Oryctolagus cuniculus: one gene and its partners. The protein of the gene in region 3 binds, or shares a complex with, the protein of the main gene of each other region. Links are inferred from orthologs where the notes say so. Each region holds a gene or a part of one and is shown on either strand. Other genes may lie near its edges.

The links.
Region 1: the proteins of RBL1 (region 3) and E2F5 are in contact, whole or in part, in a crystal structure (PDB 5TUV), measured with the Homo sapiens proteins. The link is inferred for Oryctolagus cuniculus from reciprocal best matches to the Homo sapiens genes RBL1 and E2F5. Residues at the interface, in NP_002886.2 of Homo sapiens: Ser1000, Ala1001, Leu1002, Leu1003, Tyr1004, Lys1005, Phe1006, Asn1007, Ile1017, Met1020, Ile1021, Gly1024, Glu1025; in NP_001942.2 of Homo sapiens: Met162, Ile190, Ala192, Pro193, Ser194, Gly195, Thr196, Gln197, Leu198, Glu199, Val200, Pro201, Ile202, Pro203, Glu204, Met205, Tyr213, Leu217.
Region 2: RBL1 (region 3) and MYBL2 share a complex: the UniProt entries of both Homo sapiens proteins name them as parts of the DREAM complex. The link is inferred for Oryctolagus cuniculus from reciprocal best matches to the Homo sapiens genes RBL1 and MYBL2.
Region 4: RBL1 (region 3) and TFDP2 share a complex: the UniProt entries of both Homo sapiens proteins name them as parts of the DREAM complex. The link is inferred for Oryctolagus cuniculus from reciprocal best matches to the Homo sapiens genes RBL1 and TFDP2.

The regions. Positions count from the first base shown.
Region 1 is NC_091437.1:110,675,722-110,681,004, forward strand, and holds the start of E2F5 (transcription factor E2F5), read left to right. Parts: upstream 1-1,603; 5' UTR 1,604-1,844; coding exon 1,845-2,096; intron 2,097-5,283.
Region 2 is NC_091442.1:15,287,553-15,292,292, reverse strand, and holds part of MYBL2 (myb-related protein B), read left to right. Parts: intron 1-2,493; coding exon 2,494-2,565; intron 2,566-3,344; coding exon 3,345-3,437; intron 3,438-4,740. UniProt on the Homo sapiens protein: Transcription factor involved in the regulation of cell survival, proliferation, and differentiation. Transactivates the expression of the CLU gene.
Region 3 is NC_091442.1:21,426,915-21,431,654, reverse strand, and holds part of RBL1 (retinoblastoma-like protein 1), read right to left. Parts: intron 4,466-4,740; coding exon 4,279-4,465; intron 3,211-4,278; coding exon 3,044-3,210; intron 1,475-3,043; coding exon 1,362-1,474; intron 1,158-1,361; coding exon 1,054-1,157; intron 1-1,053. UniProt on the Homo sapiens protein: Key regulator of entry into cell division. Directly involved in heterochromatin formation by maintaining overall chromatin structure and, in particular, that of constitutive heterochromatin by stabilizing histone methylation.
Region 4 is NC_091435.1:139,901,653-139,906,392, reverse strand, and holds part of TFDP2 (transcription factor Dp-2), read right to left. Parts: intron 4,394-4,740; coding exon 4,242-4,393; intron 635-4,241; coding exon 468-634; intron 1-467. UniProt on the Homo sapiens protein: Can stimulate E2F-dependent transcription.

The DNA of each region.
Region 1 (5,283 bases), on a different chromosome or scaffold from region 3:
ACCCAATTCAATCTCCCGCCAAATTCATGTGTTGATACCCCAACCCTTATTAGGATGGGATTTAGAAGTGGTGACTTTGGGAGTAGCGAGTCACAAGATAGAATCACAAGGATGGACGTCTTGTGATGAAATTAGTGCCTTTTTAAGAAGTCAGAAAGCTAGTTTCCCCGCTCCTCCCTCTCTTTGCCACAAGAAGACACAGGGAGAAAGCCACCATCCATGATCCAAGAAGAGGGCCCTCACGAAACTCACCATGCAGGCTCCTGAACTGTGAGCAAATAAATTTCTGTTGTAAGCCACCCAGTCAAAAGCCCAAGCTGGCTAATACACCACATAACTGTAATGGCTAATTGTAATTTTGTAAAATAACAATGTTAGCAATTCTTTTCAAATCTTGACTTCATCTTTAAATTAAAACTAGAACTTTAAGGAATACTATTGGACAGCAATCAATAACACTTATTTGCAAAACTTGCTTAATATTTGGCTAATGTCAAATCACATATACATAATTGTTCAAATCTAGTTCTAATAGATGAAAATTTTATGTTTAAGATTTTCATTCCAAGTTTTTTAAATAGAGTTGAGTAAAAAAAAGTTACTTGATTATTATTCTGTCTCTGTGAATGAGAGCCATAACACTTGTATTAAAATAGTGCATCCGGCTTCACTAGTTAATACTGTTGTTGACTATTTCACTTCAGTGACCCTTTTTTTGCTAGTTCCCTGTTAAACTAAGAAAAATCTTGCATGAAATTTGATTAATGAATATTTGCCAAATGAAGCTGTCATTCACCTTCCTATTGTGTGACACCAAATCGTTTAAAATGTAGTTTTAATGCTCAAGAATTTGTAATACAATGAGAAAGCATTCTTTTACTCAGATCTGCATGACAGCATTTAGGACAGAGGCACAAGAATCTGTGAGCTTCAACTATTCCAAATAATACAATATCCTTTGGTTCCGGCAGATCATTAAGCACTTGTTTAAACGCAGGAGATCCGGGATCTAGCGGCTTTTTCTCTGGACTTTCACCCCCCCTCTCTCTACACACCACTGTCTCCATCTACGAGGTAAAGGCTTTGAAAAGGACTCTTTGATTACTCCAGGACTCCACTTTTCCTGTATTCTGACTCTACGAAGACCGTACTTGGTCCCAGTCATGGAAATGTCTGCAAACGACGCAGAAGTTGGGAAACAGCAAAGGAGCGAGAAGCCTGCCCACAACCAAGAGTGACGGCAGGAGGCTGATCCGCAGCTCTGCACTCCGACAAGTCCGCCAACTTCTCAGCTCCCAAAGTTTCGTCCGCGGGGCAGCGAGGTCGCTAGATCAGAGGGAAGTCTCCTCGTGTCTCCTTTTCCGTCAGACCCGAGATGCCCTGAGGGAGCCCTTCGGTTCCCGAGGCGCTCGCCGGCGTCGCGGGCGAGCGTGAAATCCGCTCCGCCACGCTCCGCCACGCTCCCGGCGCCCGGCGCGCCCCTCCTACCCACAGAAAAATGCGTTTCCAGGCAACGGCGCGCCGCGGCGTCACTTCCTGCCATTTAAACTCCGGTCCCCACCCCTCGCAGCCCCTTCTGGCTCCCACTCCCCCTTCCCTGAGTCGTGGGCTTGCTTCGTGCTTCCCCGAGCTTGGGGAGGGGGCGGAGGCCCGGCGCGCCCGAGCGGCCCCGCGTCGTCGCGGACGCCGCTGCGCACCTGTTGTGCGCAGGAGCCCGGGCCTCTCCGTGCGGTTCTCGGCGGGCGCTGGGAGCGGCCGAGGCAGAACCAACCCTGCAGGTGGCCCCGGGCGGGGCGGGCGAGCGGCTGTGCGCGGAGGCCGGACCGCCGCGGTCCCGGGACGCGATGGCGGCGGCCGAGCCCGCGGGCTCGGGCCAGCAGGCGCCGCCCGGACAGGGGCAGAGTCAGCGGCCGCAGCCGCAGCCTCCGCAGGCGCAGCAGCTCCCGCAGCCGTCGCCGCCGCCGCCGCAGCAGCAACTCGGGGGCGCGGGTGGCGGTGGCGGTAGCAGCAGGCACGAGAAGAGCCTGGGGCTGCTCACCACCAAGTTCGTGTCGCTGCTGCAGGAGGCCAAGGACGGCGTCCTGGATCTCAAAGCGGTGAGCTTGGGAGGCGGGAATGGGGGCGGACTTCGGTGCCCGTGGCTTGGGGGAGAAGCCCAGCCCCTTGCGGCGTGGTGTGGACGCGGCCCGCGGGAACCGGGGCCCCAGAAAACCGGGGCCATGTGGCCCTGATGCCCGGTTGCGGGCGCTGGGAAGGGGGAGGGAAGAGGAACCGGGATCGCCTCCGCCGGCCGCGTAACCAATGAGGTCCGACGCCGCGCGGGGCTCTCGACAAAGAGCCGCGGATCTGGAGCCCGCGCGCGTGGCTCCTGCCTTGGGACGCGGGGACCCCGGGACAAGCGAGGGTGTGCGGCCACCTGTGGCAGGGGCGTGGGGGTGGCCCGGAGCTTTGCCGGCAGACGACCTGGGGGTTGATTTGCTGTTGGGGATGGATGGTTTTGTAGTGATTCTGGTTGGAATTGTACTGTTTTAAAAAAGAAAGAGCCCGGCGTGCCTTCTCTTCTGGATGAAAGGGAGAAAAGAAATGTTCGTAGCCCATGTTAAAGTAGCGATAGTACAAAAAAAAGTTTTCATGAAATACTTCCTTTCATCATCGTGGTGATTAGGATTTGATCTATGGCTTAATTCGACATCAGTCACAGATTTCGCAAAGTGTGATTTGCCATCGCACCAAAAGGGGCTGTTTTATAACTTGACCCACACAGGTGGAAGCGCTCAGTAAACCTGGCGGTTTTGTGAAAACTTGTATTTCGCCCTTTACTGCGACCTAGATTTTTTAAACCAAAAAACGTGCAAAAAAACTTTTTGGTGGTGCAGAATGACTTAACCGTTCGTGGCAGGATCTGGAAGAATTCCACAACTCTGAGGGGGAGGGGAGAGAATGTGACGGCTTGCTTTAAAACTCAGCTACTCACACCAAGTTTAAGGAAGAACCAAAGTTTTACAATCAAAAAAATACTAAGTAGCCGGTGCGGTAGTCCCTGCGGACTCTGGCATCCCTCCCACCAGCCCACACCCCCGAAGCTGGCTTTACTGGGAAGATTGGTCCCTGCACTCAGGGCAGTGCCTGGACCACCTTGCCTGACCTGTAGGGGTCCCTGCCATCCTCAAGGCTGTGCCTAATTGCAGTAGAAGCCTCATCAGCTGAGGAGGAGCGCGCCTAATTGCAGTAGAAGCCGCATCTGAGGGGGAGCGCCACAGCCAGTACTTCCCAATGGAAGACAGATTGCAGGGCCCTGCTCCGTGGCTTCCCGGTGCAGCCCGGAGAGGAGGTGTGTCTTTCCATGCCCTCGTCTTCCCTGGATGTAGTAGGTGTTCAGTAAGGTGGCTGGTGAATTATCTGAATTGTTCTGCGGAATTCAGATGAAACAGACTGCATTTTGGAAAGTAGTTTGTGCTATCTTGAAATATTATTCCTGGATTTCCCCCCCGCCCCACCTTCCACAATTCCTTATTCTCTTCCCCTGCCCCCCATAGCTGCTTTTTTTCCACCTGCTCTGAAAATGCTTTATGGCACATGTGATACTGTGATGAATTAAAATGGATTCTGTTTGAAGAATTTTCCCAGGAAGACATTAGGTCATCAGATACAGCCAGGGATGTTAAAAAATTCAGATTACAAATTGCTACTCAAATTGTAGAAATTCAGTTGTAGATTTTTGACTTTAGTATAATAGGGAAGTTTGGGGTTTTTTAGATAAAAACCAACCTCCGGGGACTGCAATTCTTGAATTTCTCCCTCAACATGCCTCCTAATAGGATTGAGCTTTGCCTTTGCTTGACCTTAAACGCTTTTTACTTCCTCCTGTTTCATCTGTGGCCATGACGTTGCTCTGTGGAAGTCACAGAGGTAGTGAATAGGATGTAGTGTGGTATTTCATAACAGCTTTCCTTCATCCTGGAACTCTCCTAAAAGTTAAAGATTTCTGCGGTAATATGTCTCATTCTGTTGATGACTTGCTATTTCTGGAGAACTGTTGGAGTGTCATTCTTCTTCACATATATGAAAAATATGTACATTTTACTTATATTTTCCACTTATTAATGTAAATATTTTTAAAAGTTCAAGGAGAATAGAATTAAAACTAAGTTTATTTTGATGGAAAAAGTTTTTGAAATTGCCACATTGGTTTGGTGCCTGGTTAGAGGCTGGTGGATGGTTATGGCAGAGTGCATACAGAGGAAGGATTGTATGGTGAGCCGGGAAGCAGAGTGGTTGGACCAGCATCAGGCTTGTATAACCTACTCTCTCCAACTACCTTCCAAGGGCACACCCCCAGTACCTAAGGGGTGGCCCGCTCCTCAACACCATATCAGTGTATGACTTAAGGGTTTAACAGTCAGCCTGAGTTTGGGAGCCATGTCCTAGCCAAGCCATAGCACATGCTGTTTTCTAATATATACCGCTGAAAAATAAGGACATCATTTTGTCTTTTAGTGGTATATTAATATATATTAACTTATTAACATAACTAATTGAGGACAAAGCTATACTGAGTAAATCAGTTCTAACAAAGCTGTTCTGGAATAATCTGACAATTATGGAGGAATGGAAACACATTGGAATTGATTTGAGGAAATTGTCTCCAGTACCTCCCCACTTCACTTGCGTTAAAGTCTCGTTTGTAATGGTGGAAGTGGAATGGTTATCACTTATTTTTTTTCCAGTGAGTTGAGAAGTTGTATCATGATATACAGTTTGCCAGTTTATACTGTTAATACAGTTAACACTTATTGAGAGTTTACTGTGTGCCAGGCATTTTGCATCTGTTAACCAATTTTGTGCTCTTCACAATGGAAGTTTGGGGGCCTGGTATCGCCATTTCACGGTTGAGAAACTGCTAGGGTAAGTAAGCCGAGATGAGTCCAGTAACTTACCCAGTATCATATGGTAAAAATGGAGGGCCAAGATTTGAAGCTAACTCATTAGTTATTGTGCTCTATTCTTTATGACCCTTCTCTAGTCCTAAAAATAAACAAGTTTTCTTTTGAGTAAAGGCATGGAGTCTGTCTTGTGAAGGAAAATGTATTATTTTACTTCTCTACTCGGGGTAGAAGAGAGGGAATTACGGAGCCCCCATGTTGAAAATGAAAGGATTGAAAGCAGATTCCAATTATTTAGCAGATAGAACTAGGGTTCTTTTTTCTACAGGTAAGAATTTAAAGCATGGCTAAGATAGTTAAGACTAATTTTATGTTATTTCGAAAGTTCCTATTAAATATT
Region 2 (4,740 bases), about 6.1 Mb from region 3:
CTGTTTTATATGCACTAATCTGTGTAGGTAGCTAGGAGTAGACATTGGGGCGGCATTGGGCTAAGAGATTGGTGTGGGGGCCTGTGTTGTGGCTTAGCAGGTTCAGCCACAACCTGCCGTGCTGGTGGTTCAAGTCTACTTCCGATCCAGCTCCCTGTTAACACACCTGGGAAAGCAGTGTGGGAAATGGCACAGGTGCTTGGGCCCCTGTGCCCATCTGGGAGACCTGGATGGAGTTCTAGTCCTGGCTTCAGCCTGGCCCAGCCCTGGCCTTAACCCTTTCTCAGGGCACAGTATGGCAGTGTTAAGTATTCCCCATGGTCTACGGGGCAGCAGATCTTAGGAAGCTTTCTGTTTTCTGAGAAATGGAACTCTTACCTTTTGGGCACTAATTCTCTCCCCAGCCCTTGGCTGCTAGGTGCCTGCTTTCTGTTTCTGTGGCTTTGACTGCTCTCGGTACCTCGTGACTGGAAGCACACAGTACTTGTCCTTTTGTGACTGGCTTATTTCATGGAACAAAATGTCCTCAAGGGTTGTCCCTGTTCCATCTAGTATGTTTCAGAATTTCCTTTTTTTTTTTTTTTTTTTTTTTTTTTTAGTTTGCCTTCTTTTTAATTAGAGATTTGTTTATTTACTTATTCAAATGGCAGAGTGACAGAGCAAGAGAGACAGAGCTTCCATCCACTGGCTCATTCCCCGAATTGCTGTTGACAGCTGGGGCTGGACCAGGCAGAAGCCAGGAGCTCAGAGCTCCATCCAGGTCTTGCACGTGGGTGCAGGGGCCTGAGCCGTCTCCTGCTCTGCTAGTCACATTAGCAGGAAGCTGCGTCGGGGCCGAATAGCCCGGGACTCGAACCCACACTTTGATATGAGATGCTGGTGTGGCAAGTGGTGGTTTAATCCGTTGTGCCACATTAGCCTCTGTTTTTCTTCATTTTTTTTTTAAGACTGGGTCATATTTCATTGATGTCTTTACCATGTTTTCTTTGTGTATATCATATTTTTTAAAAATTTTACTTATTAGACAGAAATCTTCCATATGCTGATTTACTCTCAATGCCTCTAACAGCTGGGGCTGGGCCAGACCAAAACCAGGAGCCAGGAATTTCATTCAAGTCTCCTGCATGGGTGTCAGGGACTCAAGTACTTGAGCCAGAGTACACATTGTTAGCAGGAAGCTGGAATAGGAGCAGAGCTGGGATTTGAACTCAGGCACTCTGATATGAGAAAGTGTGTCCCAAGTGACATATTTTTTTTTTTTTAAGATTTATTTATTTATTTATTTGAAAGGCAGAGTTACAGAGAGGCAGAGAGACAGAGAAATCTTCTATCTGCTGGTTTACTCTCCAAATGCCCACTACAGTTGGAGCTGGGCTGGTCTGAAGCCAGGAGCCTGGAGCTTCTTCCAGGATTCGCATGCGGGTGCGGGGGCCCAAGGACTTGGGCCATCCTCCACTGTTTTCCCAGGCACATTAGCAGGGAGCATCGTTGGAAATGGAGCAGCTGGGACTTGAACCGGTGCCCATATGGGATGCTGGCACTGCTGGCAGTAGCTTTACCTGCTACACCACAGCGCCAGGCCCCCCAAGTGCCATCTTAACTGCTATTCCAAATACTCCTATATATTTTATTTCTATAAAATTGAGAAATACTTTATATACAATCAACTGCCGTTCGACGTACAGCTCAGTGAATTTCACAGGTGCTTGTTTACAGCCACGAATAGCAGCAGTCACGTTCCAGAACATTCCACTACCCCCAACACAGTCCTCGCTCTCCTTGCTGTCTCTTTTGTCCGACCACTGGCTTCCTTTTTGTTCCTGTATCTTAGTTCACATCTTCTAGATTCCGTGTGCGTGGAATGATCCGGTATGTCCCCGTTTATGTCTGACCTATCAGGATCCCGAGATGCACGTTGTGTGACAGTAGCTCCTCTTCAGGAGAACGTGTCTTCTGCCTGCTCTCAGTTCTGCCCATGGCTACCCCACCTCCAGAGCCGAGTCCTGTCACCCCGGGCCTGGGTGCAGTATTGGCCTCGCATGTCCACTCTGCCTCCTTCCATCCCCTTTCCTGCCTTGCAGCAAGCACGTTGGAGCCCTTGTCACAAGCCATTGGACCGTAAATGCTCACTGCTCAGATGCCGCGGTGGCTTAGCCTGCTGCAGAGGCGTCAGTTTTGCATGAGGCCTGGTCCCTGCCGTCCCTCCAGAACCATCTCGCGTCCCTTGTTCACTTGAGTCCAGTGTTCCAGCTTTGCGTTCCCATTACTGTGCATCTCTTTGTGTCTCTGAGCTTTCGATGAGCTCTCCCTAGACCATAAGCCCCTCAGGGTTGCTGCCTGCCGCTGTGACTGCCATTCCTGGCGCGCAGTAGGTGGTCATTTTAAGCCGGGATGGAAGGACGGAGCTGTTCTTGGAGGGGCTACTGTTGGGGGCGCCTGGGAGGCGGCCTCCTGCACAGTGTGCGCTGAGCTCTGTCTTCCTCGTGTTGGCAGGATGAGCAGCTGAGGGCCCTGGTGAGGCAGTTCGGACAGCAGGATTGGAAGTTCCTGGCCAGCCACTTTCCTGTGAGTATGGCAGGGGTTCTCGCCGACCTACCACTGTGCCGGGGACAAGCTTCCTGCCAGGGAGAAGGCGAGGGAGTTCTTACCAGTTCCCTCCGAAGGAGAACCACGTAAAAGACGACTGTGTTCATGGGACCTTGCTTCCCAGAGGCGAAGCCTCTGCCCACAGCTGCCTCGTGTGTCCGGGGCTTTGCGGGGTTTGTAGCTGTGGCCAGTGACATGCTTATTTGCATTGCTTCGTGCACTGCTGGAGCGGATGGGTGCTGGGTTCCTCAACAGTGAGGCTGCAGCTGGGGGCAGGTGGTGCTTCCGCCGGCTGCGGCTGCACAGTAAGGCCCTGCAGCCACCCCACCCCCAGGCTGCAGGTGTCTGCTCTCTGGCTTACTGCCTGGGTCCCCAGGGCCACTAGAGGTCGGAGCCACCAGAGCCCTTTTGTCCACTTTGTTCATCTGCTTTTCATCCGTGTGGTGCTTCAGAAATAGAAACACTCTCCCAAAAGAAAGCAGGGATCTGGAACCTCATGAGTCTGTTACAGGCTTGGCAGGGGTGGCTGCCTGTGTGGGTAGTGGGAGGTGATCTTCTACAGGGGCCCGAACCTGTCCCCGTCTGCAGCAAAGGGAAGCCACGCGTGTCCTCGTGTGTGGGCCTGCAGTGTGTGGTGGGGGTGGTGGTGGTGGCATACACTGGGCCCTGAACCCCTGAGCCCAGTGCTCCAAAGGGTCCCAGCCCATGGATCAGGAGTTCTCACAGATTCCTGAATGTTCTTCCTGTTCACTTCCCAGAACCGCACTGACCAGCAATGCCAGTACCGGTGGCTGAGAGTTTTGAATCCAGATCTTGTCAAGGGGCCCTGGACCAAAGAGGAGGACCAGAAGGTAACTCAGCCACCTGTATTCAGTGGGCCTTCACCCACCTGCAGGGCAGCAGGCACCGTTGTGGGCATGTCCATGCACATGAACCTGGGAGTGAGCCAGCCTGCGATCAGCCCGGGTGTCCCCAGGTGTCCAGTTCGAGGCCCCAGGTCCTGATCCAGAGGGTCTGCAATCAGGAGCTGGGGCTGTTGGGCAGAACACTCAGCTTCTTGGTCCCTGCAGTAGGGTTTTTGTGAAGGTTGGACAGGTGATGCACGGGAGGGGTTTGTGTGGTCCCTGCACCAGCTGAGCTTACAGAGGGTGGCAGGTGCTATTTTCTTGTTATAACGGTGACTGTGCCTGGTGAACCGTTTTCCTGGGCACTGAGCCTTGTAAATGCTGTGTCCTTTTTTTTTTTTTTTTTTTTTTTTTTTTTTTTTTTTAATTTATTTTTTTTTGACAGGCAGAGTGGACAGTGAGAGAGAGAGACAGAGAGAAAGGTCTTCCTTTGCCGTTGGTTCACCCTCCAATGGCCGCCGCGGCCTGCGCGCTGCGGCCGGCGCACCGCGCTGATCCGATGGCAGGAGCCAGGAGCCAGGTGCTTTTCCTGGTCTCCCATGGGGTGCAGGGCCCAAGCACCTGGGCCATCCTCCACTGCACTCCCTGGCCACAGCAGAGGGCTGGCCTGGAAGAGGGGCAACCGGGACAGAATCCGGTGCCCCGACCGGGACTAGAACCCGGTGTGCCGGCGCCGCTAGGCGGAGGATTAGCCTAGTGAGCCGCGGCGCCGGCCCTGCTGTGTCCTTTTGATCACAGTCGTGTGAATGGGTACAAGGGGACATCAAGGCTCAGAGTAGGGTGCCCCCAAGCTAGGAAGAGGCAGCACCAGGACCCCCGGGCTATTTCTCAGGAGTCTTCTCTCTGGTTCTTCCTGAAACCAGCCCAGAGAATGCCACTGCACTGGCAGGCGCAGCCCAGGGAGAAGAGGGAGGTGAGAGGACTAGATGTTTTATTATTATTTTAAATTTAGCTATTTTCATTTTATTTGAAAGGCAAAGAGATATTTCATCCTCTGGTTCATTCCCCAAATGCCTACAATTGCCAGGCCAAAGCCAGGAGACAGGAACTTCATCTGGGCCTCCACTGTGGGTGGCAGGAACACAAGTACTTGAACCGTCTGCTGCCTCCCCGGGTGCGCATTAGCAGTAGCTGAATCAGAAGGACAGCAGCCGGGACTCAGACCAGGCCCTTAGACACCGGATGTGGGCATCACAAGCAGTGGCTTAACCTGCTGCACTGTGACATCCACCCCAGGTTTGTTTTTAGG
Region 3 (4,740 bases):
GAGTGGTCAGACTTCGTCAAAAGTTCAAAGAAAAAAAGTATTTAAAAAAAAAAACCCAGGGCTAGTTCTGTGATGGAGCTGGTAAAGCCACCAACTGCAGAGCCGGCATCCCGTATGGCACCAGTTGGACTCGTGGCTGCTGCAGTTGGACTCTGCCGGCATGGGAAAGCAGTGAAAGATGGCCCAGGTCCTTGGGCCCCTGCAACCATTTGGGAGACCTGGAAGAAGTTCCTGGTTCCATGTCGGCACAGCTCTGGCAGTTGCGGTCATTTGGGGAGTGAGCCAGTGGATGGAAGATCTCTCTCTCTCTTTCTCTGTGCCTCTATAACTCTTTCAAATAAATAGATCTTGGGGCTGGTGCTGTGGCACAGCGGGTTAATGCCCTGGCCTCAAGTGCCGGCATCCCATATGGGTGCCAGTTCGAGACTCGGCTGCTCCATTTCTTGTCCAGCTCTCTGCTGTGGCCGGGGAAAGCAATAGAAGATGGCCCAAGTGCCTGGGCCCCTGCACCCACGTGGGAGACCTGGAGGAAGCTCATGGCTCCTGGCTTTGGATCGGTGCGGCTCCGGCCGTTGTGGCCAACTGGGGAGTGAACCATTAGATGGAAGACCTCTCTCTCTGTCCCTCTCTCTGCCTCTCCTCTCTCTGTAACTCTGACTTTCAAGTAAAATAAATAAATCTACAAAAGAAAAATTAAAAAAAAATAAATAAATCTTAAAAAAAAAAACAACTACCACCACGTTATGATCTAAAAGCACAGGGAGTTATAAACAAACACCTCAGTTATCAGTAGGGGAGCTGACACAGTAGGGGAATGAAGGACACAAAAAGGACTAAGGGAAAAGGACACTGACAGCATCCCAAATATGAGCATGTATGGCTAGCCCTAGCTGTGGCAAATTCAACTGAGGCCAGTGAAAATGTCATCTTGACCAAGTGTGCCATAAACTGCTGACCCCAGAAGGCCCTCTACAGCTGCAGAGCCTCCTGGACACCACTTCTAGGCCAGGACTTCCTGACCTCCCCAGTGGCTGGGAGAGGGGATTTACTTACAGACATATCCATTCCATGAAGTCTTCGCGTTTCCTGAACCATTACAGTCTCTAATATTTTATAATATAAAATTTCTGCCAGCTTAAGTCTGTTTATAGCAAAGTCTGTAAGAGAAGTAAAGGGAAAACATATGCTAATGAAATCAAGTTAAGGGTTGAAAACAAAACTTATCGTATAAATTTAAATTGTGTTAAAGAACAACATTTATCGTATAAATTTAAATCTGATACATTAAGAGTAACAGAAAAGGAAAAATCGAAGTTCTGTTTTGGGGACAATGCTATGCCAACTTAGTTTTCTCTTCTTACCTATGTGAGATCCTGGCTGTTCATCTGTTGATTGGGTATAGTGTTGGCAGAAAGTCTCTCCTATTCCTTTCACTATTTTTGTAATGTTTTCCACAGGATTACGTATACAAGATCTATAAAATACAAAGAGGAACCTAATTATCAGAAAAAAAGAAAACTAACAAGATTTCTCTTTAAGAAACAGTTTAGGGGCTAGTGCTATGGCAAAGTGGGTAAAGCTGCTGCCTGCAGCGCTGGCATCCCAATTGGGTGCTGGTTCAAGTCCCAACTGCTCCACTTCTGATCCAGCTCCCTCTTAATGCATCTGGGAAGGTAGCAGAAGATTGCCTAAGTCCTTGGGCCCCTGTACCCATATGGGAGAACTGGAAGAATCTCCTGGCCCCTGGCTTCAGATCAGTCCAGCCCCAACCGTTGCGGCCATTTGAGGAGTGAACTAGTGAATGGAAGACCTCTCTCTCTTTCCTTCTCTCTCTGTAACTCTACCTTTCAAAATAAACAAATCTTTTAACAAATAGTTTAAGGTTGTATGTTTAGCATGGTACTTAAGACACTGCTTGAGGAGCTGCTACCCTAGTGCAGGGGGTTAAGCAACTGCCTCTCCTGCCACCATCCCATATAAGCACCACTTCCAAGTCCCATCTGCTCCACTTCTGATCCAGGTTCCTACTAATGTGCTGGGGATGGCAAAAACAATGGCCCAAGTACCTGGGTCCCTGCCACCCATGTGAGAGACCCAGATGAAGCTCCTGTCTTTGACCTGGCCCAGCCCTGGCCATTGAGTGAGCCAATGGATGGAAGATTCTCTCTGTCTCTCCCTCTCTCTTTATAACTCTGATTTTCAAATAAATAAATCCTAAAAAAAAAAAAACCAAAAACACAATGTACAAGGAAAAATATGTATAATTCAGAGGTAGTAATAAGCCTAAAATGTCTGAGGCAAATAACTTTTAGGATACAATTAACCTTGAAGTCTATACTACAAAATAACATTTATAGGGCCTGGCAATGTGGCTAAGTGGGTAAAGCTACTGCCTGAGATGCCAGCATCCCATGTAGGTTCTAGTTCAGGTCCTGTCTGCTCCACTTCTGATCCAGTTCCCTGCTAATGGCCTGGGAAAAGCAGTGGAATAACATTTATATACAATTTTTAATAAGTACTTCTATCCAGGGGCTGGCGCTACGGCATAGCGGGTAAAGCCACCACCTGTAGTTTCAGCATCCAATATGGGTGCTGGTTCAAATCCCGGTTGCTCCACATATGATCCAGCTCTCTGTTATGGCCTGGGAAAGCAGTAGAAGATGTCTTTGAGCCAAGTCCTTGAGCCCCTGCACCTATGTGGGAAGAAGCTCCTGGCTCCAGATCAGTGCAGCTCCAGGCGTTAAGGCCATCTGGGGAGTGAACCAGCAGATGGGAAAACCTCTCTTTCTCTCTCTCTCTGCCCCTGCCTCTCTGTAACCATGCCTTTCCAATAAATAAATACCTCTTAAACAAGTTACTTCAATTAAAAAAAAAAAAAAAGTACTACTATCTGGTTTTAGGTCAATATATATTGTGGTTGAAACTGTAAAGTAGAACTTGCCAAATGTGTATCCACTATTTCAAGAAGGCTGAATATACTACAAACAGAACAGAATAAGAATCTAATTTTAAACACATGATTATATAATAGAACTAAACTTACTCAAAAATATTTGTAAGTTGTTCACTTGCTGCATTTTTTAGTCCAGCTACAATGCTCTGTAAGCGGCTCACACTTTGGGTAGCAGAAGCAACAGGAGTAATGACTGCTTCTTTTTCTCGTAAATATCGCCGTCCTGTCAGTGGGGTAGAAGGTGCAAATGATCTTTTCTATGAGAAAAGAAAAATCTGTGAGATTAACATTTACTTCCTGCTTATTGTGTAATTCAGTATACATACTATGCATATTCAAATTTATAGATAGTTACTTTTCCCCTCTTTATTACCTACCAAATTTTTAGCAATACTATGCTAATAATATTTTTATATTTGAATAATACTTTTTTTTAAAGATTTATTTAATTTATTTGAAAGGCCGAGTTAGAGAGAGAAGAAGGAGAGACAGAGAGAGAGAGTTCTTCCATCCCTGGTTCACTCCCCAAATGGCTGCAACAGCCAGGGCTGGGCAGGGCTGAAGCCAGAAGCTTCCTCTGGGCCTCCCACATGGGTGCTTTCCCAGGTGCCTTAGCAGGGAGCTGGATCAGAAGTGGAGCAGCTGGGACTCAAACTGGCACCCATATATCATACTGGCGCTACAAGCAGCCACTTAATCTGATACATAACTCCAGCCCCATAGTAACAGCACTTTCTATCTATACTCTCATTTTATCTTATACTTTAATTTACGAGGAAAGTGCCCAGATAAGCTAAAAACCTACTTAAGTTGACAAAGTTAATGGCAGAGCTAAGACTAAATTTTAGGTTTTCTACCTTCTAAACCAGTGAGTTTCCCATTTGAGCTCATCTTCCAACCCATTTCACACATAAATACAAAATTAAGCCTTGGTCAACAAGCCTAGAGTTAAAGGGCTGGATTTAGAGAAGAACTAATAGCTTATGTCATGGCTAGGATAGCACACTAAATTTTAAAGGAATATGAAAGAGTCTATATTGAAGCAAATAATAAGGAAGCATAAATTCCCTTTTATGTCAAAAGGCATATAATCTGATAAACGGAAGCATGTTGGGAAAATATACCCAAACTATCATTAATAGGAAGAAAGATGTAAGAGTACCAAATGCCATAGTTTTGAAAATTACCTTTTAAGGCTTGCATGTTAAATATGAATTAGTAGAAGAAACTCAAGACTTAACTTGAAAGATGCTCTGCTGTTAGTAGAAATCACACACAGAGAGAAAAAGATCATTCAAGACTGAGGCGAGGCTAGGTTATATTACTTTTTCAAAGTGTTGTTGAAGATTACACTCCACATTAGCCTGTGCTGTCAGTTTCCCTAGCGGGGTGTCACCAGTGAATTTCCGAGGTGTTCCAATTTCCTCTTCTGCATCTGCTCCCAGAAAGATCCTCTCATCAAAATCACCAACAGTTAGAACATACTCTTCATATTCCTTGTTAACTGCTTTGCTGCAAAGAGAATTATTTTAAGAAGCTAGAGTAAAACTAAGCTACACGATGGGTATACCTTGACTTGAAGGCAGACTTAGAATTCACAGTTTGGGAAAGCGGATGACTTTCTAGCTTTTATTGACTGCCCATCTAACAATATTAGAAGTTCTTATTTAATGACATTCTTCACATTCATTCAATAAATTATTTTTGCAAAGTCAGGAGAAACAGAATATATAATTCATCTGACAAAGAGCTGTAAATGTAATGAAGGAAAAGAAAACAGTATCTGA
Region 4 (4,740 bases), on a different chromosome or scaffold from region 3:
ACAGAAAACAAAGGAGCCCAGAGAGCAGGACGGAGGGGCACCTACTTCCTCTTGCAGACTGCCCAGGTGGCCCTGGAAGGGTCCAGAGGGCACTCAGAAAGGATGTTCACAAACTCCATCAAGCACTTACTGAGCGCTCTCCCCTGCCCAGGCTCTAGGCCGACTGCTGGGAAGAACAGATAAAGATATCACTGGGGAGCCAAACTCAGTAATGAGTCAGCCAGTTTAGATCTCCGTAACGCATGCTGTACTACACAGGTGGAAGTTCCCAATGTCAGGAAAACAACCTATTTATTCTAATTTGGGGTGGGTGGGTGGGAGGAGTCCTAAATGTATTCAGTAAGGGGTTAAAAGTCTCAATTTGGGGACATAAGAACAGATTTTCCAAAATTCTGCCGTTTCCTATGGGAGAAGCTTGAACAGGTTGGGGTTTGACAGGGAGTAGGTGTGTGAGCCTGTTACCATACCTGTGACGTAGCCTTCCAAAGCCTTTGGCACCAGAGATTTTGCAAGTTTCAGATCCTCCAGAGAGCATTTGCCAGACTCCAGGCCAAAGGACATGCCCATCCGCTTCAGCACTTCTATGTCGTCATGGATCTCAAAGGTGTTGTCAAAATTGAAAAGATACTCAAACCTGCATCAGGAAACAAAGTCGGTATGCGGTCGCTGCTAGTACTGGAGAGCTCTGAATAGTTTTGTACAAGCTACTTTAAACAAGAGAACGAGGGCCTAAGTTCAGCTACAGGGCCAGAACTGTCAGCATTTGGAGCAATGAGTCATTGTGCAGTGCTCGGGGAATGACATCTCACAGAAAGCGCTTTTCCAATTAAAACAACTTTCCCGAGACATAAACTTTAGCCCTAATGCTGTTGCATGCAGGAATCAAAAGTTTTATTCTGAATGCAATACATTTCAAAATGGTCTACAGCTTTGCCACACAAGAAGTCTTTCTAGTTTAACGAATGATATTTGGACTGTGAATTGGCTTATCCGCTTCAAGAAAAAATATAACATTTTGAATGCTTACTTCATGTTCGTGACTCAGTGTTACCTACAGCATTTTATTTTTATTTTTTTTATTTTTGACAGGCAGAGTGGACAGTGAGAGAGAGAGACAGAGAGAAAGGTCTTCCTTTGCCGTTGGTTCACCCTCCAATGGCTGCCGCGGCCGGCGCACCGCGTTGATCCGATGGCAGGAGCCAGGTACTTATCCTGGCCTCCCATGGGGTGCAGGGCCCAAGTACTTGGGCCATCCTCCATTGCACTCCCTGGCCACAGCAGAGAGCTGGCCTGGAAAAGGGGCAACCGGGACAGACTCCAGCGCCCCAACCGGGACTAGAACCCGGTGTGCCGGCGCCACAAGGCAGAGGATTAGCCTAGTGAGCTGCGGCGCCGGATACAGCATTTTATCCATTCATTCATTCATTTATTCTTTCATTTGAAGCAGAGAAAGCCAGAACCAGAAACTCAAAGTTAGCACATGAATGGCAGAGACCCCACTACATCTCCCAGAGACTGCACTAGCAGGAAGCCGGAGTCAGGAGTCAGAGTCAGGATTCAAACCCAAGCAATCTGATGTGAGACACAGGCAGCGTGGCTGGCATCTCAACTGCTGGGCCAAATACCCACCCATACAGGATACTTCAGCTGGGCAATATATGGAAGACTTACCAAACTGAAGCACCCATGAATCCTAACTTGGTAGGCTAAGGAGTGCAAAATCTTAAGAAAAAGTGTCATAGACATTGCCATTGCAAACTCCTCAATCCCGCTGCTCACCTGCCCAGCACAACCCTTCCACACAGAGGGGCCTGCAGAGGGCACGGCCACTGAGTCCACCACTGGGCCTCCGGCACCTTCACCCAAGGCCCGACCACAGGGACAGAGTTCAGGGGAAGCTCCAGACTGGGGATTCTCACCTTGTCCTCAAATCATACTAAAATCATGGGAGGGTGAAACACTTTATGTTATATCAGTATAAAAATGACAACTTGAAGGCCGGTGCCACGGCTCAATAGGCTCATCCTCCGCCTTGCGGCGCTGGCACACCGGGTTCTAGTCCCGGTTGCCCCTCTTCCAGTCCAGCTCTCTGCTGTGACCCGGGAAGGCAGTGGAGGATGGCCCAAGTGCTTGGGCCCTGCATCCCATGGGAGACCAGGGGAAGCACCTGGCTCCTGCCTTCAGATCAGCGCGGTGCGCCGGCTGCAGTGCGCCAGCCGTGGCGGCCATTGGAGGGTGAACCAACGGCAAAGGAAGACCTTTCTCTCTGTCTCTCTCTCTCACTATCCACTCTGCCTGTCCAAAAAAAAAAAAAAAAAAAAAAAAAAAAAAAGACAACTTGAATCAGAAAGTCCTGAAATACGTGGATTTGAATAAAGTACACTAGCAAGTTTTTTTGAACAAAAAATATCCACAGTAGATGCCTACTTCAGGGATGGTTTCAGGCATCTGTCACAAGCAGATGGTTTTTCTTTCTTTTTTAAGAGATTTACTTATTTATTTGAAAGACAGAGTTACAGAGGAGAGTGACAGTGAGAGATCCCCAAATGGCTGCAACACCAACTGAGCCAGGAGCTTCCTCAGGGTCTCCCAAGTGGGGGCAGGGGCCCAAGCACTCGGGACATCCTCCGTTACTGCATGGGAAGGGGAGCAGCCGGGTCTCAATGGCGTCCATACGGGATGCCGGCGCCATAGGCAGGGGCTTAACCAGCTGAGCTACAGTGCTGGCCCCCAGCAGAAGGTTTTATAAACTCAATCCTCCCTGTGGGAAAAGTCTCCTGGCCAATAAGAGGAAAGACTGCCTCCCCAAACTGAGAGCCAGGGTTTGGGACCCAGTTTGAGGAACAGGTTTACTGCTCAGGAATGCCTTCCGTACGCTCAAGGAAGGCTGGGAAAGGGCTGGGCCAGTGGCCCGGAGAGACAGAACCCTTGTCAGGCCCCAGCCTCGGGGCATGCTGCCATAATCTTGTGTGTCAAGGGTCCCAGGTTTTCCTGATACCTTTTTTAGACTTAAACAACTGAAGATATGAATTATTAATTCCCCTACAAAACAAGACTAATTTGAAAGAGACTAACTAAAAATGCCAAGTTTGGGGATTTTTTCCTCAAAAAAGATGTCAACCATTTTCTAGAATTCTCAGTTGAATGAGAATTGTTAACAGTCCTTTTAGAACTTCTTTGCAAAGAAACTGCAAGGATATGAATAATAATTCAGACTTATGGACCTCCGGGCTGAACCTGCCCCTGTGTCTTTCACATACATTTTAAAAGAAATAAATAAATTTTAAAATGCTTGGTGATTGAGGCTATGTGTCCATACACAGTAAAAAATAGTTTCAGTTTCCTGTAAGGCTGTACATGGTCCTTTTATTTCCTTGTGACCTGCAAAACTGGTTTATAATCAACTTTTAAAAGAATTAAAAAAAAGAAAGAAAGAAAAGACAAGACAGTAGACACCACGCAGGCGTCCAGGCAGCCCGGACCGCTGTCACAGCAGCTGACGTCTGTGAAGTGTCTGCCCCCAGTGAGACTCCTCAAGCATCGTCCAACTGCAGCCTCACAACAAGGCTAAGGCGACGGAAGCTCTGCTATCACTCCCGTCAGTTCTTGAGAAGTGGAGCTTCGGAGCAGGCAGCGTGGGAGGCGCAAGCCACACAAGGGCCAGGCCCACCCCACGCCGTACACACTCTTCACCCTCTCAAGATACTGGGAACAGCCAAGACGTTCCACGAGGGACAAAGTAATGCTGCATTTGAAAAGTGCTACTTCGAACTTGCTATGATGTAGATTAATGTTATATCAATCGTAGTTAAAAATGTGAAATAAATAAAGTAAAAGGCAGAGAATGTGCCTAGCATGTTCATGTCCATCCGTTCGTACCCAGGAACACACAACAGCGACATGGCAAACACAGGAGCACAATGAACTATGCCAGGACGCAATCAGGACCCCACCTCGGCACAGCCCCTCAGCGATGCTCTCACCCACTGCACACAGGAAATGCATCGCAGCTGGGGCCCAGGCCGGGCCTCGCCTGTCACTCAGGCAGCACAGTGCCTGGACAGGACAGGGGACCGAGGAGGGCGCGTGACAGCGTGGCCGTGGAGAAGGCTCCTAGGCTTGAGGAGGCGATTTGTGCACCCCAGGCAGGGCAGCCTCGGGGGGCTGCGGCTGACAGAGTGCACGTGAGGACAGCACGCCCGCAGGGGGCCAGGCCTGCGTGCCCCCACATCCCCACTCACTTGTCACTGGAGATGCTGCAGTCTATCACTGTCTTCTTGCTTGTGTTGATGATTATAAACGGCAGCTGAATGGTGGAGTTCTGCGCTGGAGGGCCCTGGTTCTGCTGTTCGCTCCGCCGATTCCTTTGCACCAAGTTTTTAAAAGCGATTTGCTGTAATGATCAAAAGAAAAAATACTGTAATGTAATATGGACAAGTGAGTTAGAGTTTTAAATGAATTAACACAGGGCATGCAAAATAGCACTCGAAAATTTAAAGAAGCAGCCCACCTGTATGAAGGAATTAATTAAAAATTAAGCATTTCTACATACGGATTGGAATGATCCCACTCAACAACAAATACATTCCGAGGCACCTACATGCTGCCTGAGGTCCTGATGTCAGTAACAGGGCCCGTGGTTTCCAACACCCACAGGATCAGGATCTCACCAACGTGGCAGAGAGCCACGTGGCAGCTGCAGCTCTTCTCAGGGGCACACCAAGGGAGTTCATCTTCTCC